Linked DNA regions of Xenopus tropicalis. The protein of the gene in region 2 interacts with the protein of the main gene of each other region in a biochemical or structural test. Links are inferred from orthologs where the notes say so. Each region holds a gene or a part of one and is shown on either strand. Other genes may lie near its edges.

Region 1 (9,107 bases), about 81 Mb from region 2:
AGTTTGCTGCCCAGTTTTCCAATTTTGTCAAATTGCTCTGCAAAGCGGCAGCATCCTGCATGGAACTTATAGTTTTGCACAATTTTGTGTCATCAGCAAAAATAGAAACAGTACTGTCTATGCCCACCTCCAGGTCATTAATAAACAAGTTAAAAAGCAAAGGCCCAAGGACTGACCCCTGCGGTACTCCACTAACCACACTGGTCCAATTAGAAAATGTTCCATTTACAACCACTCTCTGTAATCTATCCTTCAGCCAGTTCTCTATCCAATTACAAATATTATGTTCTAGGCCAATATTCCTTAATTTGATCATTATCCTTCTGTGAGGTACTGTATCAAACGCTTTAGCAAAGTCCAAGTAGATGACATCAACTATTCCAGCATCAAGGTTCCTGCTCACCTCCTCATAAAAGGCGACTAAATTAGTCTGGCAAGATCTGTTACGCATAAAACCATGCTGGCACAAACTAATAGTATTGTGATTTGCAATGTATTCAAGTACCCTATCCCTTATTACCCCTTCCAAAATTTTTCCTACTACTGATGTCAGACTAACAGGCCTATAGTTTTCAGGCTGAGAACGGGATCCCTTTTTAAATAACGGCACCACATTAGCAATTCGCCAGTCTCTCGGCACCATGCCAAACCTCAACGAATCCTGAAAAATTAAGTGAAGAGGTTTGGCAATCACAGCGCTCAGCTCATTTAATACCCTGGGATGAATCCATCCGGCCCTGGACCTTTGTTTCCCTTTACATGTTCAAGTCTCTTTTGAATTTCCTCCTGAGTGACCCATGCGTCAGTAGCTAAATTACTAGAACTGGGCATATTAAAAGGGAAGCCTTCATTAGCTGGCTCCTCAGATGTATAGACAGATGAAAAATAAGAGTTCAAAATTTCTGCTTTTTCCTCGTTCTCATCAACCAACTTACCCCCCCCCCCCGTGATAATAAGGTTCCCACCCCTTCTTGCTTCATTTTTTTACTATTCACATAATTAAAAAATAATTTTGGATTCTTTTTACTCCTAGCTGCAATATCTCTTTCCATTTCTATTTTAGCTTGCCTGATAGCTTTATTTCATGCTTTATTTGCTTCCTTGTACCTGATGAAAGTTTCCGCTGTCCCAGCTAACTTGAATGCTTTAAAAGCACGTTTTTTCTTACCAACCTCGACACTAACACTTTTATTCAGCCATAAAGGTTTTGCTTTGCGATGCCTCTCCTTGCTTACAAGGGGAATATACTGTTGTGTATACTTGCAAAGCAATGTTTTAAAGATGTTCCATTTTCCTTCTGTGTCTAACCCCATGAAAAGCCTTTCCCAGTTGACACATTGCAGAGATGCCCTTATACTGGCAAAGTCTGCACGTCTAAAATTGAGTGTTTTAGTTACTCCCTTATAGCACTGTCTCTGCAGCATTATCTCAAAGGAGACCATGTTGTGATCACTGTTCCCCAAATGCTCACCCACACAAATGTTAGAGATAAGTTCAGTATTATTAGATATCACCAGGTCCAAAATAGACTCATTCCGAGTAGGTTCTTGAACCGCCTGAAATAGAAAGTTGTCATTTAGCATATTTACAAACCTACTATCTTTTTCTGACTTAGCCACCCCATTACTCCAGTCAATGTCCGGATAATTAAAGTCCCCCATAATAACAACTTGACCCAGTTTTGAAGCCTCCTCCATTTGCAACAATAGCTGGGCCTCATCCCCCTCATCTATACGGGGGGGTTTATAGCATACACCAATGATCATTTTCTTTGTGACCTTCAGCCCTACTGAAATTTCTACCCAAAGAGATTCAATGTTTTCATTGGTAATGTTTTTATTACATGGCTTTAAATCTGACTTTACATAAAGACAAACCCCTCCACCCTTTTTAATCTCTCTGTCCCTCCTAAAAAGTGTTTAACCATTTAAATTCACAGCCCAGTCGCATTTATCATCCCACCAGGTCTCAGTGATACCTATTAAATCATAATTTTCAATACATGCAATAGCTTGCAGCTCCCCTAATTTACCCGACAAGCTTCGCGCATTAGCCAGCATGCAGCGGAGATTACTACTTCTCCCTCTGATGTTTACATCAGCTAATGGAGAGTTAGAGCTAAGGCAAATATTAGACTGTTTTCCTTGTAACGGAAGCTCCTTATTTGATAAACTATATGCCCCCCTCACTCCTCCCCCACAACCCTTTGCTAGTCCCACTGCCCTGTCTACACTAGCTATCCCATAGAATTCTAGCTCACCCACCCACCCCTTGTCTAGTTTAAACACTCCTCCAACCTCTTAACCATTCTCTCCCCTAGCACAGCAGACCCCCTTCCATTGAGGTGCAATCCGTCACGGCTGTATAGATTGTACCCCAAGGAAAAGTCAGCCCAGTGCTCTAGGAACCCAAACCCTTCCTTCCTACACCAAGACTTTAGCCAAGCATTTAGCTCCCTAAGCTCCCGCTGTCTCCCTAAACTTGCACGTGGCACCGGCAAAATTTCCGAAAAAATGACATTGGAGGACCTTTGCTTAATCTTAGAGCCTAGATCCCTGAACTATATACTTGAGTATAAGCAGAGGTACCTAATTGTACCTAAGAAAACTGGAAAAACTTATTGACTCGAGTATAAGCCTAGGGTGGGAAATGCAGCAGCTACTGCTAAGTTTCAATAATCAAAATAAATACCAATAAAATTACATTAAATGAGGCATCAGTGGGGTATATGTTTTTAAATATTTATTTCAAAGAAAAACAGTAAACTAGCTCTGTAAGCGGAAAAGAGGGTCAAATACAATATGGTATCAACAATGATACCTTAAGAGTACTACCCCCTTAGCTCAATCAGCAACCAAGCTAAAACACAAAGAGTTAAAATTCTTCAAAACTATATATAGTTTATATAGAATATAAAGTGCAATGTCTAGTGCAGAATGGGACAGGTGAGGATGGTAGATAAAGATTAATTTGGGAGTGGGCCAGGGCACTGGGGGGTCTGGTTGCAGGTGGCCTAATTTGCACACAAAGGACAGAGGGTGCTAGTCTGGAGGGACCCATGGCACCCGACTCAAATATAACTTTTTCAGCACATGTTGGGTGTTTAAAAACTAGGCTTATACTCGAGTATATACAGTAAAACTACTGCCAGTTATGGGATTTGGAGATCATTTTTCCCCCATAATTCAATGCAAATCGTAGATGAGATGCACCTATATTGGTATGGCCGCAGTACCAACATAAGAGAAGAAAAATATGCTTGGTTATCAAAAGGATTTATTAAGTGAGAAACAGTAAAAGAAAAAAGTAATATATATTTTTATCATTAAAAAATAAACATAATATTTAGGAGGAATCATTAGAAAAATTCATATCTTTGTATATTTTCCCAGCAAGCTGATAGAATGCTCAACAACAGATAGGGGCAAATTTATCAAAATGTGAGCTTAGAGCTTAATACATAAAAATCACCCACTCTCTATTCATTCCTATGGGACTTTTAGAACTGTATTTATCCATGGGTGAAATTACGCTTCTAAAAATCTCATAGGAATGAATAGAAGCTGGGTGAGTTTATGTATTAAACTCTAAAATCACATTTTGATAAATCTGCCCCATAGTGTATGTTCCAGTCCTGGGTACTGGGTCCTGGGTCTGACTGGGTACTACTGTATAGGGAAACCCAGAGGGCTCTTTTGATAGGGAAAGCCGGCAGTGGGCAGAGGAAGAGTTGCACGTGGGACCCTCTTGAAGAAAAGAACTGGATCCCAATTAAAGCTTATTTTGAGTTACCAACACATTTGTGCAAAAAGCACTCAGCATAAAAGCAAGATTGTATACTTATCCTCACTAACCAGGAACAAGGGGCCCATTAACATTCTGGGCAGCTAAGTGAATGAACCTTCACATCTCTTTAGCAATGTAATAAGAAGCATTTGCTAATATGCAGAACAAAGAGTTGCACCTCTGAGAATGACCCAGTTATTGCTATGGGCAGAGGTGAGAGGGGCTCTTACTACAAAAGTTGGCCAGTAATTTGAGCCCAGTTAGGGTTTCTCCAGTTGAATGTCAGTGCCCCGCAAGGAGCCCACGTCTTCATATGTGGCCTGCAGACCACGAGTGATGTCCTCATATGTAGAACACTCTTCAAGATTCAAACCCTGGGGGAGAGAAGGAGGAGACTTATAAAGCAGGGTCCAGGGAGATTTTGCAGTGTGTGGGCCTTGGGGTATGTGTAGATGTTTGATGAATATTTTTGGGAAACCAGAAACAAATGCTCTGCCTCTTTGTAACTAAACATATATCTTATATCTGTGTGGCTGGCAACCTCATCCCCAACCTCATCCTCTAACTAATCTATGCTAACTGAACTGATTCCTCTAGCTACCTCTCAGTGAGGTGAAGTCCCAGGAAAAAGACCTCTAACATGTGAAAACACCGCCACCTAGTGGGCTTTCCTGAACTGCAGGGGAAACTCCCTTTTTACCTGGGAAGAAATAGTGTTTCATAAGCACATTATTAGGACCACCTTTAGGCATCCAATTCTAAATTCAATTAAATGGCATAATAATAAATCTTAGGGCCCTACAATCATGTAACAATGTGACGTCCGCATGTTAATACTAGTTAATATAATGGATAATATTATTTACCATGAATATCACTCTCACCTCATAAATGTTATCCCCTATCTGTGACGTGGTTAATAACGTTAGGTTTTCCCAGCGCTTCTGTGGCAACAAAAACAGAAAAATAATGAATTATTTGCCTTTTTCTTATCTTTCCAGCTTTTAAATGGGGGTCACCGACCCCAGCACCCAAATGCTCTGTGAGGCTACAATTTTATTGTTATTGTTACTTTTTATTACTTATCTTTCTATTCAGCCCCTCTCCTATTCATATTCAAGTTTCTCATTCAAGCCACTGCCTGATTGCTATGGTAATTTGAACCCTAGCAACCAGATGGCTGCTGTAATTAAAAAAACTGGAGAGCTGCTGAACAAAAAGATAAATACTTCAAAAACCACAGAAAATAAAAAGTGAGGGCTGATAGCAAATTGTCTCAGAACATCAAGCTCTACAACATGCTAAAAAGTTAATTTTAAGGTGGACAACCCCTTTAACTAGGGTTAAGCACTAAGGCTAAGGTCTTGGTACAGATTTTTCTGTAGTTTAAGATCACAGCATCCATTGTGATGATAGAACTTGCATCAGTCTATTTTCTATAGTTTCCTTTTTAAATTACAATTAATTTGCCATTCTAGTATATGATAACCAAGTTATTGGACTAGGCTGAAAACTCTCTTCCAAGGTTTCTTCTATTGTTGGAGAATAACAAAGGCTTTGCCTCTTCAAAAAGAAACAACCGCAATACATACATCTATTGGTACCCTACACCCATCCCTTGTGTCTTTATACTGTGTAAAGGCCCCCATACACGGTAAGATCCGCTCGCTTGGCGAGATCGCCAAGCGAGCGGATCTTCCCCCAATATCCCCAACTACGGGTGGGCGATATTGGGGAGTTTCAAGTTAAAAAAAAAATAATCCAATCGTTTGGCCCTGGGGCCCTGATCGGATTATGTAGGCGGCAATGGGGTAGTCGGTTCAGGGACCGCATCAACGAGCCGATGCGGTCCCCGATCCGACTGAATTTTCTAACCTGGCCGACCGATAGCTGGCCAATTTCAGGCCAGATATCGGTCGGCCAGCCTGCTCGTTTCTGCCCCTACACGGGCCGATAAGCTGCCGAGTCGGTGGGGGCCTTAAGTATTGTAAAAAAAATTGGGAGCAACACAAGCATAAAAAGTTTCTGTGGGTATCAAATAAGGGCTGTGACTGTATATTTGGTAGCCCCTATGTGGGCTGGCAGGCTACAGGAGGTTCTGTTCTGGCAGTACATTTATGCAACCAAAACTTGCCTCCAGGAATTCAAAAATAAGCACCTGCTTGGAGGAAATTGGGAGCAACAGCCAATGGGTTGGTAAGAAACGTGTTACTCGCAAGCCATTGGTTGAGAATCACTGCTCTGCAAGGACACATCTTACAGCAAACCATAATAACAACTTCTGCTACTGAAATCTCAATCATGAGAACATCATGGGGGTGCCACCTCCTAGGTTCATCAGACACCTGTATGGTATGAATTCCCCCCACCCATAAAAGACAACATTACCCAGTATAACATGAACCATCATCATATATAAAGCAAAACATGTGTTATTTGGTTGTAATCATTATTGGGTTTGCCTGTAATATCACATATAGCAAGGGCTTGGTAGCCTGAGGAACCTTAGCCCCAGCATCCTTAAAAACCCACTGGAAGCCCATTGGAAGTATATTTAATTAGCCAAATCACAAGGAAAACAGCCAATAAAAGCAGGAAATACATCTTACCCTGTTTCATGCTGTAGCTCCAAATAGGGTGGAGAAGGCTCACAAAATTGATCTTTCAATCCAAAGTAGCAACCAAGCATCAATTAGTTCTAATTGGTCCCTGGCAGTAACACTAATGAAACCATAATTCTTATTGGCTGCTGTAGGCTACTGAAACAGATTCAGCCCTGACCATGGACTGAAAGAACGCCCATAATAACTTATTGTGCAATATATAACACGTACCTTATACAGTAGGAAAGTCCCCGGAATGATTGTACACAGGAGAAGCACTACTCCTTCCACTGTGATCATTCTGTTCTTTGTTGTCTCCCCAAGGTTAAAGAAAGCGTAGGGCTCAGCCTCTGCAACACAGAAACCCCTTGTGACGAGTGCACAAACCTGCCAACAACTAAAACCTGCACAGGGTTTACTTAACAACTGCTCCCACTGACTTCTGAAAGGTGCCCAATTCCCTGGGCCCAGAATGTACAGGAATGTAGCGTGGTCCAGTGGGGTTGGTGGCCACCAGAACCAGGTCATTTTCACTGCACATACTCAAACTCAGTGCTCACTTAAAGGAAGTGGCCACAAATTCAACTGTGCAACTTTGCATTATAGGCCAATGTATGGGGGAGAGGGGGTACTTTTTGGGAGCCTTGTGGAGCAGTCAAGGATGCCAGCCTATGAAGGGGCCATTCTGTTAACATAAGCATCAATTCTCCCTTTACATGGACAAACATTTTCTTGCATTTCTTGAATTGTAAGTGGCACAATTATCTTATTAGCTTTAAACTGCAACACAAGTGAATTGACTGTACTCGTTGCAACCCTGTGGCTCTGTCACAGCCTCACCTTGAATCCTCAGATATGTCCCACAGGACTTGTATTTTTTATCCCCCACTGTTACTCTGCACCGATATAGTGCACTGTCGTTCTTTTGTGCATTTTTGATTTCTAGGACTTTCTTGTTGTATCGAATCCTCCCTTCCATGTTTGCCTCCGTCTCTGTTATATTGGCTGTGGCTGATACGTTCTGGTACCACTTGATCTGAATCCAGTCAACATGGAGATTCGTCTCAGATGTCTTTGTATCATAATTACACATCAGGTTCACATTGTCCCCTGGGGACCCCAGCACGGAAGTAGGCACCCACTGCATCTTCAGCATCCAACATAGCTTTCCTGGTTAAAGACAATTGCCAAGTGTTATTCAGGGAATAGTGGACCCCTTACCCATTAAACAGCTCAAAGACCAAGCATCAAGATCACTCACACATCATGTGACATCAGTGACATCACTAAGCACCAGTTCTAAGGATACTTTTTATGGATTATCCATATCATTAGTGTATAATGGCCTATTATCATGGATGGCAGTAAAGAAGTGCTGTCCCCAGTAGCACAATATGTAATATAAGGCCTATTGAAAAGCCGGTCAGCACCAGGGTAAATGAACCTTCCTCAAACCAAGAAGTTAACTTGATATTAGGGAATCGTACATAAGGGGTCAAGGACAACCCACAAGCGCAGTGTGCAAAATGCACTTCCAGGTGCAATCACCATGTTTTATAATTCCAGTGTTTTATAATTCCAGTGTAATTGCAGCCATAAGTGGGTGATGCGCCTGAAGTAAAGGACCCCGATTGTATTCTTCCTGGGACAAAGATTTCTCCAGGGCCATATTTCTGTGCAGCGCCTCCAGAGACCGGCACCCTTCAATGCTACTGCCTCCCCCCAGAATTGTGTATATGAGCATCGTTTGGACTTACACAGGGGACAGAATGCGCAGAGATCTCCCGCGTGCCCAGACCCCAGTGCTCTGGGTGTGCGCAAAATTCAGGTGCAGCTTAGTTTGTGCTGCCCTATGTCTGGGCCTCTGTGGCCTTGCCACAAATCCTGGCCTCCATGTCTTTATATTGATAGTCCAGATAGAAAGAACTTACACCTTGCCCAGACGTGTGCCCAATATTGACAGATGTCTGGCCAATCCTTTGGCTGATATCACACCATTAAATAGAAAAAGTAAACAACTACAATAAGATATTGTACAGCCTTCTATAAACAGCACTGGTGCTGCCCAGGCAAGGGAGATCCAACCCTAATGCCACTTGGGCACCATATATAATAATAGCACAGGCCCAGTGTAGGTTATAGTCATCTGGTGAGACATACATTTAAACCACTTACCTGCCAGGTGTTTGCTATTCCCAAAAAAACTAATAGCAAGGTCAGACTTGGCTGGCGGGACACCAGGAAAAAACCTGGGGGGCCCTGTCATTCCAGACCCAATCCCCACCTGTTGCTCCCCTGTTGCCAATGCTCTGAACAAAGTATAAGATAAGTGGGAAGGGAGGGGCTGACAGTGGGTAAGCAGGTGGGGCCCCAGAGGGGGGGGGGTAGCAGCTCCAGTGGGCCTGGCACACTCCAGTCCTTTGTTGCCTACAAGCCCTGACAATGTAGTGAGTGAAGTAGAGAGAGGAACCCTTGGGTTAATATAATCCGACATTTTAGTCTAGTAACCAATAGCAACCAATCAGCAAGCTACATTTATTAGTCACCTCTTTTAAAGCAGGCACCTGACTGTCCTCTATGCATTGCCAAACCTTTTATCACATGAGCCCTGTCACCACCCTACATTGCTGCTGCAGTGCTTCCCCCGCCCTCTCAAGGGAGCATCTCTCTAGGGACCCTCAGAATAAACACATCCCTCACAGATGTCTCTACTTCTCC
Region 2 (10,503 bases):
CTTGAACTTTTCCACATTTTGTCACATTACAGCCACAAACATGAATCAATTTTATTGGAATAAACGTGTACACGTGTACACGTGAGAAGTGGAACGAAAATCGTACATGATTCCAAACATTTTTTACAAATAAATAACTGCAAAGTGGGGTGTGCGTAATTATTCAGGCCCGCTTTGGTCTGAGTGCAGTCAGTTGCCCATAGACATTGCCTGATGAGTGCTAATGACTAAATAGAGTGCACCTGTGTGTAATCTAATGTCAGTACAAATACAGCTGCTCTGTGACGGCCTCAGAGGTTGTCTAAGAGAATATTGGGAGCAACAACACCATGAAGTCCAAAGAACACACCAGACAGGTCAGGGATAAAGTTATTGAGAAATTTAAAGCAGGTTTAGGCTACAAAAAGATTTCCAAAGCCTTGAACATTCCATGGAGCACTGTTCAAGCGATCATTCAGAAATGGAAGGAGTATGGCACAACTGTAAACCTACCGAGACAAGGCCGTCCACCTAAACTCACAGGCCGAACAAGGAGAGCACTGATCAGAAATGCAGCCAAGAGGCCCATGGTGACTCTGGGGGAGCTGCAGAGATCTACAGCTCAGGTGGGGGAATCTGTCCATAGGACAACTATTAGTCGTGCACTGCACAAAGTTGGCCTTTATGGAAGAGTGGCAAGAAGAAAGCCATTGTTAACAGAAAACCATAAGAAGTCCCGTTTGCAGTTTGCCACAAGCCATGTGGGGGACACAGCAAACATGTGGAAGAAGGTGCTCTGGTCAGATGAGACCAAAATGGAACTTTTTGGCCAAAATGCAAAACGCTATGTGTGGCGGAAAACTAACACTGCACATCACTCTGAACACACCATCCCCACTGTCACATATGGTGGTGGCAGCATCATGCTCTGGGGGGGGGGGCTTCTCTTCAGCAGGGACAGGGAAGCTGCTCAGAGTTGATGGGAAGATGGATGGAGCCAAATACAGGGCAATCTTGGGAGAAAACCTCTTGGAGTCTGCAAAAGACTTGAGACTGGGGCGGAGGTTCACCTTCCAGCAGGACAACGACCCTAAACATAAAGCCAGGGCAACAATGGAATGGTTTAAAACAAAACATATCCATGTGTTAGAATGGCCCAGTCACAGTCCAGATCTAAATCCAATGGAGAATCTGTGGCAAGATCTGAAAACTGCTGTTCCCAAACGCTGTCCATCTAATCTGACTGAGCTGGAGTTGTTTTGCAAAGAAGAATGGGCAAGGATTTCAGTCTGTAGATGTGCAAAGCTGGTAGAGACATACCCTAAAAGCCTGGCAGCTGTAATTGCAGCAAAAGGTGGTTCTACAAAGTATTGACTCAGGGGGCTGAATAATTACGCACACCCCACTTTGCAGTTATTTGTAAAAAATGTTTGGAATCATGTATGATTTTCGTTCCACTTCTCACGTGTACACCACTTTGTATTGGTCTTTCACGTGGAATTCCAATAAAATTGATTCATGTTTGTGGCTGTAATGTGACAAAATGTGGAAACGTTCAAGGGGGCCGAATACTTTTGCAAGCCACTGTACAAGGTACTGTTTTATTATTACAAAGAAAAAGGAAACCATTTTTAAAAATGTGAATTATTTGATTACAATGGAGTCTATGGGAGATGGCCTTTCTGTAATTCTGAACTTTCTGGATAAGGGGTCCAATACCTGTATATTTTTTTTATATATGAAACTGGGGAGGTGACTGTATTGCACCCCCCATCCCCCAAGATCACGGTCCTGGGGCAGCCACCGGAATCTATTATAATCCATCACTAAATACTCCTTACCCTACAGATGGATAATGAGATTTAGGAATTTGGCCACCCGTCTGTGCCCAAACAGTGCATACATCCAACCTGATTGTAAATGTTAAACTCTATGTGGGATGTAATCATTCAAATCATTTAATCCATACAGAAAAGCTGTCATGATTTTCTAAACTTTTCATAAATACACATTTGCAGCGCTTGTAGATTTCAGGTGGTTTATCTTGTGATGTGTGTAGTGCTAACATTACAACAAGTTAACCCCACAAAATGAGTTCATAAAAACCTTTCCTTATTGTAAAATTTGCGATATTATCAAGGAACCTTTTAAAAAACACACACAAACCTATTATATATATATACTGGCATTTCAGAGTTACAATGCAGCATGGAATATTGAGCACAATTCACAAAATTGATGTAAATATTACTCCTGTGCAGTAACCCTGAGCAGCCAGCCAATCAGAAGTTTGCTATAACAGTCTTTAACATTACATTAGAGGGGATTATAGGCAGATGGGGGATTTTATTTTTCCCATAAAAACGATCAGCACACCAGAGGCCCCCCCTTTAGATTAGAGGAACGGAGCTTCCATTTGAAGCAGGTTTTTCACGGTGAGGGCAGTGAGGTTGGGGAATATAGAGAGGCAAACCTGTATGGCTTATGGGAAGTAGGTTAACTGGTTCTACCTATTAAAAAGGTGAAGTGGGTGCTGAAAACATTGCAGAGCATATCCCAATTTCCCAGCATGCTGCTCACTCTTATTAAGAGAAAAAGGATGGTAGAGGGAGGTAGGTAAATAGTTCAGATTGGGGCTTAAGAAAGTTTAGAAAAAATGTTTTTGGGGCCCTGAGGGTTAAAGGAACAGTAACACCAAAAAATTAAAGAGTTTTAAAGTAAAAGAAATATAATGTACTGTTGCCCTGCACTGGTAAAAGTTGTGTGTTTGCTACAGTAACACTACTTATATTATTATGGCACTTATATTGTAGTGTCACCCACTGTGACCTACAGCACTTACATTTGCCCATTTGTGTCTGTTAGTTACCCCTCCCATATAGATTGTAAGCTCTACGGGGCAGGGACCTTGTTCATCTTGTTTCTGACTCTTATTGCAACTGTACCTTGTATTTATTTGTATTTATTGTTGTACTTTGTATTTATCCATTATCTTTAACCCCCTGTTTGTATTAATGTATTCTACTGTACAGCGCTGCGTACATAAGTAGCGCTTTATAAATAAAGATATACATACATACATACATACATACTATAATTTATATAAATAAGCTGCTGTGTAGCCATGGGGGCAGCCATTCAAGCTGGAAAAAAGGAGAAAAGGCACAGGTTACATAGCAGATAACAGATAAGCTCTGTAGAATACAATAGTGTTTTATCTGTTATCTGCTAAGTGCCTGTGCCTTTTCTCCTTTGAATGGCTGCCCCCATGGCTACACAGCGGCATTCTTTATATAAATTATAGTAGTGTTTCTGAGGCAAACACTCCAGTTGCACCAGTGCAGGGCAACAGTACATTATACTGGAATTTCTTTTATACACTTTTTTTGGTGTTACTGTTCCTTTAAGGTTATCAGATCAAGTGATAAAATGACTAGAATGGGTTTCCAATCAGTGCCCTGCAGTACATCACATGCCAATGCACCACAGGAGAAACGCAAATAGGAATATTTACCTATTTTGCACAGATACAAGCAGAGGATGGTGCTTAGGGCTAATGGAGTTTCTGATCTGTTCAGAAGGGGAATCTGCTCAAACAAATTTGTGAAGTATTTGTTGATTTCTGAAATTAATTTTTGTAGACAAGACCTACATCCATTATTATTATTATTATTATTAACATTTATTTATAAAGCGCCAACATATTCCGCAGATCCTAAGCAATGATATGAAACCTGTGACCATCCCAGATGTTGCTGAACTACAACCAGAGTATGGGCTATGGGAATACACCCTTTAATTCCAATACAGCATTATAAAGAAGAAATTCAGTGCTTACTAACTTGCCCTTTAAATAGGTGCAACTAGTAAAGAAACAGCAGAGGGAGTTCTTTTCCCTTGCCCCCTGCAATCTCTGCAGCCTCACAGATCTGTTTGTTCAGACACATGGCTGTTGTCTATTTATTATGCATTTATAATGCTGGATATACTGGCTATACACACACAGTCAGTGCTATGGAGCAACAGACACGCATGTTTGTGATGTTTCTACTACTAAGGGTTCGTACTAATACTGAACCCTTAAATTCATGTAACTTTACGGTTTTAAAAAACTGAATTTAACATTTTGCAACCATTAATGCAATGACTTTTAGAATCTGAGTACAGGTATGGGATCCCTTATCCGGAAACCAGTTATCCAGAAAATTCCGAATTAGGGAAAGCCCATCTCCCATAGACACCAATATAAGCAAATAATTTTAATTTTATAAACTGATTCCCTTTTCTCTGTAAAAATAAAACAGTACCTTGTACTTGATCCCAACTAAGATATAATTACCCCTTATTGGGGGCAGAACAGCCCTATTGGGTTTATTTAATGGTTAAATGATCCCCTTTTCTCTGTAATAATAAAACAGTACCTGTACTTTATCCCAACTAAGATATAATTACCCCTTATTGGGGCAGAACAGCCCTATTGGGTTTATTTAATGGTTAAATGATTCCCTTTTCTCTGTAATAATAAAACAGTACCTGTACTTGATCCCAACTAAGATATAATTACCCCTTATTGGGGGCAGAACAGCCCTATTGGGTTTATTTAATGGTTAAATGATTCCTTTTTCTCTGTAATAATAAAACAGTACCTGTACTTGATCCCAACTAAGATATAATTACCCCTTATTGGGGGCAGAACAGCCCTATTGGGTTTATTTCATGGTTAAATGATTCCCTTTTCTCTGTAATAATAAAACAGTACCTGTACTTGATCCCAACTAAGATATAATTACCCCTTATTGGGGGCAGAACAGCCCTATTGGGTTTATTTCATGGTTAAATGATTCCCTTTTCTCTGTAATAATAAAACAGTACCTGTACTTGATCCAAACTAAGATATAATTAATCCTTATTGGAGGCAAAACAATCCTGGGTTTAATCAATATTTAAATGATTTTTAGAAGATTTAAGTTATGGAGATCCAAATTACGGAAAGATCCCTTATCTGGAAAACCCCAGGTCCTGAGCATTCTGGATAACAGGTCTCATACCTGTATACTGTTAAGAGTTCAGATTTGATTCAGGATGTGGAAATATCTTGTGTGGCGAATTAGTTACTTAACTAAACCCAAAAAATGTTGGGTTTGGTGCATCTCTACTTATTTTGCAATATGCATTGAGTTAAAAGTAAATATTGAAAATAAAATTATTTAAAAGTTAGGCTGCCTGTATCAGCTTATTAATGTTAAGTGCTGAAATGATGCATTCAGGTCATTGCTGCCGTACAAGAAGCATCCCCCATTTAAAGGGATGATGATTGGGGTTAGCCTGACTAATAATTAACCATGAGCAGTTTAGTTTGCCTTTGCCACATTGTGAATTGTTATCCAGTGAAAGTTTTAATTGATTTCACTTTGGCCTGAATGTTTGCGCCCATACAAACTGATATCAATTGCTGATCAAGTATCTAGCATTCTTGGGTTGCCGTGATGAAATACATTAAAATCGAATGTCCGTGGGTTCAAACTACACAGATTTCCGCTCAGCCCATTCACATTTCCATTCACATCCTTATTTATGAGTATTTGTGCATTATGCAGTTACATTTTTTCCAAGTAAAAGAATGAGAGGAGGAAATAACAAGATGGAGGCACATTGCAATATCTTGCGGCGCTTCTGTACACCCCCAAGCATGCTGGAAGTTATGGTTTAGTAACAGTTATTCATGAGTCGGACACCATTGCCTTATATGCAATGAGCTTGAATAAACAACCCCCAGGTACACAAGGAAGCTGAGAATATTTCAAGGTGACTTTTTTGTTACTTGTAAAATCAGAAATTTGGGGTGTAAGCCAGTGTTTCCCTCTCAGGGATAGTTCTGCTCCTTCACTGTAAACAAGAGAAAGCCCCTCACCTGAACTTGTGCCCAGCTGGAGCTGAGAGCTTATTGAATGTGTCCATGTTCCACAGGTGAGCCAGGGTCCCTGCTTGCCAGCTCCTTGTGGTGCCAGTCGCTCACAGCCTGTGAAATCCCCGCTGTCTCTGTCAGATTTCCCCTGAGTAGTGTGTGTTGGCACATAGTCATTTCGTTTGAGAAGTAAAACTTGCCTGATTACATATTCAGGTTTCGAGTTTCCTTCTCGTCACATGACCCACTCCCTGCCCATCTGGCTCCTGAATAGGCTTTTAGCAAACATTTCTCAGCTTCTACCTGTTTGGGAGTCACAACTAGCGCTGCTTTCTTCCTGCTGCTGTATGGGTTATGGGTTGCTGCTGGAATTTCCACTGAACTTTAACAATATCTCACAGTATTTGAAGATTCCAACTGCCAGCTGTCAGCTCAACTACATGTTTTCTCTCTGTGTCATCTGTGAGAGAACACTCCTGACATATGATATAGAGATTGATATTCTGAAATAATTTGCAGTTGGTCTTAATTTTTACATTTTATTTTTGTGAGGCTTTCCAGTTATTTAGCTTTTTTTTCAGCAGCTGTCCACTATCTGGTTGCTAGGGTCTTATTAACCATAGCCACCAGTCAGTGGTTTGAATAATGTGAATAGGCAAGGGAATGAATAGGAAGATAAGTAATAAAAAGTAACAATACTATTGTAGCCTCATAGGGCAATTGTTTTTTTGACTGTGGGATCAGTGATCCTCATTTGAAAACTGGAAAAGGTGTAGAAGGAAGGCAAATTATTTAAAATCTATTAGAAATAAATAATGAAGACCAACTGCAAAATTGCTAGGGCATTCTATAACATACTTAAGGCTGATGCCACACGTGGCGTTTTTACGCTGCGTTTTTTCTCAGCCTCAAAACGCCACACAAGCCACACAGCCCCTGACTATGGCGTTTTTCAGCCTAGTACTGGTGACGTAGCAAATCCCGTTTCCATGGTGCTAATAGTGCAAAATAGTAAAAAATGCCGCGTATTTCTGCTAGGTCTGGCAGCTGCCTTTGTGTATACATAGGAATAGCTTGCTGTGCAAATACTGGCATATTTCAGCCAACGCTTGAAAAATCCGTGCTAAGGCTTTTTCTAGCGTATTTCCGCATTGTGTGGTTTGGTTCGAGTCTTTTCAAGTTATTTCTATGGATGATGATATCGGGCGTTTTTCAGCCGCTGAGAAAATTTGAAAATACGCAGTGTAAAAACGCCTCGTGTGGCATCAGCCTAAAGGTGAACCACCCCTTTAAGGTGATAATGATTTTTTTAGGGCACTTATACACTGTGCATTTAATGATTGATTCCATTATATTCTGTTTGTACCCTGAGTTGACTTTTATTGCATTCATGTTTCATTTCAGTTTTTTTAAGCACAAAACCCTAAATTTTTTGCATTCAACAGAAAATAGAATAGAGGGTTGCATTTAGTAACTCACAAAAATGCACTTGATTGCATGTATGAAAATGCAATATTTGTGTTTTTAGACAGCCAGCATGGGATTTAAAAGGCATTATAATTGCCTCTGTGCTCAAGCCCTGAAAACCAAATTCCTATTCACTCCAGACAGTAACCAGAAATTGCACCACTTTATATTGTAGTTATTCTTGCTATCATTTGTGCCACCTCCTCTTATAAATTTTGCTCCTCTGTTGCCTGGTACATGGAACTACTGCCTCCAATAGTCACTCGCCCCTGCAATGTAAAAGCCAGCAAATGTGGAATATCCTTAAGTTCAGCCCCTGTCCTGCCCCCTAAAGCCCCTGATCCACCCAGAATCTAGTGGAAACCTACTCTTTTTCTCTTCCCTGATCCTCCTGGCATCACCCGTGACATCATAGCTTTTCATCATCAACCCGCCTCCTTTGTCACCACCCCGCACTGGCCGGTAACTTTCTTGTAAAAAGATGGCAACTGCAACTGTATATATTTATATGTCTTTTAGCCATGTGTAGCTGTAGTGGTTTTTATCACAGCCCTGCACAGTGCATTACACATAAGGGTAACCAGAATAAAGGGGAGGGAATACTCCTAATATGAAGTTGAAGTTGAACTGAAGAAGCTGCTCGGATGAGTAGTGAAACGTATTGAATGATTACCAAACAAGTCCAGTTGCTTTAAATTTATTTATATTAGATATACCATGACCTGAATGAATGAAAATCTTCATAGACAATACTCCTAATATTGAGATATACAGATTTCCTGTTTTCTAAAGAATTTTTGGTTAATACTGATCTGTAAATTCCCCCTGTATACAATGCATTGTGCAATGACAGAAAGCAGGCCAGTGTACAGATTAGTCATTATTCTGTATAGTAACCATGTTTGCTTATTGCTTTGCTAATAAGGAAATAACAGCCCATTGGATGCAGAGGGGGGAAAACAATGTAACACTTTTTGTCTGAAATGTAAAAATGGCCGCCCACTTTGAGTCCACTGGGAGCGACATCAAAGGGGTTAGTAACATGTTGCTCCAAACCCTGATTGGGGATCACTGGTATAGAACTATGCAGATATTAAACAGTTTGTATATGCTGAGATCCAGCTGCAAAACAGTTCTTCTCTTTCTGCATCATTTGAAATCCTGGCAGGGGAGGAGGGACTAAAACATTGATGTTATAAATTGTAAAAACTTCTCCAGAGCTTACAGAGAGCATGCAGGAACTACTTAACCCACAATGCATTGCACTGTGATGTTCTTTTCCTTATTGACATCACAGGTGCAGGGAATTGTGGGATATGGAGGATGCAGGCTGAAGGCAGGCTGAAGACAGTCGGCTACTGTTACATTTTATTTGAGTCTCAAAGTAGCCAGCCAGATCAGCAGGGGATAGGGGGTGGGGCTTAGGGAACTGTTCCAAACCATGATGCCATTTTTTATTTGTCTCAAATTTTTAATATGCAAATTAGGGTTCAGATTCAGTTTGGAATTTAGAAACATCTTCTGTGGAGGATTCAGTATTTAGTCAAATGCAAAAAAAATTAAAAATATGGAATGAATGCATTGGTGTAAACAGGCACACATTATGGGGTGAATGCCACAAAATTCTTCATCACATACCCTAGTGGTCATGTTTTGTCATATTAAAAATTAAAGGCCTGGATGGTCCAAAGAGTTATTGTGATAATGCAGAGAAGTCAGACCGGGGGGGTACAGTTTTTGCTGTGTCTCGTATTGTCTGGAAGTGACATCATTTTGCATGACTACTGCTGGAAGTGATGTCACTGCGCCAGCTCCTTCTGATGTCACTGAATGCTTACGTCATAGATACGCATACAGTCTCCAGGTGAAATCTGTAAAGGTGACATGTCTGACAATGTGCATGTACAGCAATAAAGGCTTTATTTTACATTAGAACTGACTGTGACTTCTGCTGATTGCTTCATTCCTCAAAACATCCTCTTATTGTGGGTGTAATTGCAAAGGAACAATATATTTAGAAAGAGAAAGAAGAGTCTAAGGATGATTCACTGAGCCGTCTTGTGCAATACTTGTTTTCTTATGATGCCATAAAGCTTGGCGGGGCTTTATATCATCTCAAACCTGGTGCATGTGCCTCTCCAGTAGCCAAGGGGTAATTATTTATCTTACAGATCTTTACAAACTGCCTGCATCTTTTATATTTAGCGTTACCCCTTTTATATTTAGCATTACCCCTTTTATATTTAGCGTTACCCCTTTTATATTTAGCGTTACCCCTTTTATATTTAGCGTTACCCCTTTTATATTTAGCGTTACCCCTTTTATATTTAGCGTTACCCCTTTTATATTTAGCGTTACCCCTTTTATATTTAGCGTTACCCGGGAGCTAAAATCCTACGTATTGATCATACAGTCAGTGTGCCAAGTGCAAGGTAGTATATGCGAGTTTGTCAGATTTCGTTTATTTATATTATATTTTCTTTTTAATTCTCAGTCCTCCGCTGACAAGCTGGAAACCAAACTGAATCCAGACTGCACTATGCATATTAAATTTGAGGATAATAATATAAAAAACAGCATTATATAAAGTTGAGTGCTTTATAGTCGCATGACTGCAGTTTGGCATAGGAAGGGCAGGGGTCTGGATTTTGCTGTGCTGAGATTCATCTAAATCAGGGCTCCCCAACCTTTCTTACTCGTGAGCCACAATCAAATGTAAAAAAACCTGGGGAGCAACACAAGCACCATAAAAGTTCATGGAGGAGCCAAATAAGGGCTAAGATTGGCTATTAGGCAGCCTCTATGCACACTATCAGCTTACAGGGGGCTTTATTTGGTAGGAAATCTTGTTTTTATTCAACCAAAACTTGCCCCCAAGTCAGGAATTCAAATATAACTCCCTGGTTTGGGGGCACTGAGAGCAACATCCAAGGGGTTGGGGAGCAAGATGTTGCCCCCGACCCACTGGTTGGGGATCACTGATCTAAATTCTGGACCACATCCTAGATTCAGTTCATTTGTAGTCATAGGGGCAGATTTACTAATCCACAAATTCGAATCCCGAATGGGAAAAATTCGAATTGGAAACGAAAAATTCCTAAGATCGCAAATATCCCGAAAATGCTTACGAAAAAATCGTATTAGTCACGATG

Evidence for each region.
Region 1: the proteins of blnk (region 2) and cd79a form a complex in vitro, tested with the Homo sapiens proteins (2 studies listed by BioGRID). The link is inferred for Xenopus tropicalis from reciprocal best matches to the Homo sapiens genes BLNK and CD79A.

Annotation. Positions count from the first base shown.
Region 1 is NC_030683.2:106,693,416-106,702,522, forward strand, and holds the end of cd79a (B-cell antigen receptor complex-associated protein alpha chain), read right to left. Parts: intron 7,560-9,107; coding exon 7,230-7,559; intron 6,740-7,229; coding exon 6,621-6,739; intron 4,731-6,620; coding exon 4,671-4,730; intron 4,161-4,670; coding exon 4,047-4,160; 3' UTR 3,260-4,046; downstream 1-3,259. UniProt on the Homo sapiens protein: Required in cooperation with CD79B for initiation of the signal transduction cascade activated by binding of antigen to the B-cell antigen receptor complex (BCR) which leads to internalization of the complex, trafficking to late endosomes and antigen presentation.
Region 2 is NC_030683.2:26,109,687-26,120,189, forward strand, and holds the start of blnk (B-cell linker protein), read right to left. Parts: upstream 6,032-10,503; 5' UTR 5,938-6,031; coding exon 5,891-5,937; intron 1-5,890. UniProt on the Homo sapiens protein: Functions as a central linker protein, downstream of the B-cell receptor (BCR), bridging the SYK kinase to a multitude of signaling pathways and regulating biological outcomes of B-cell function and development.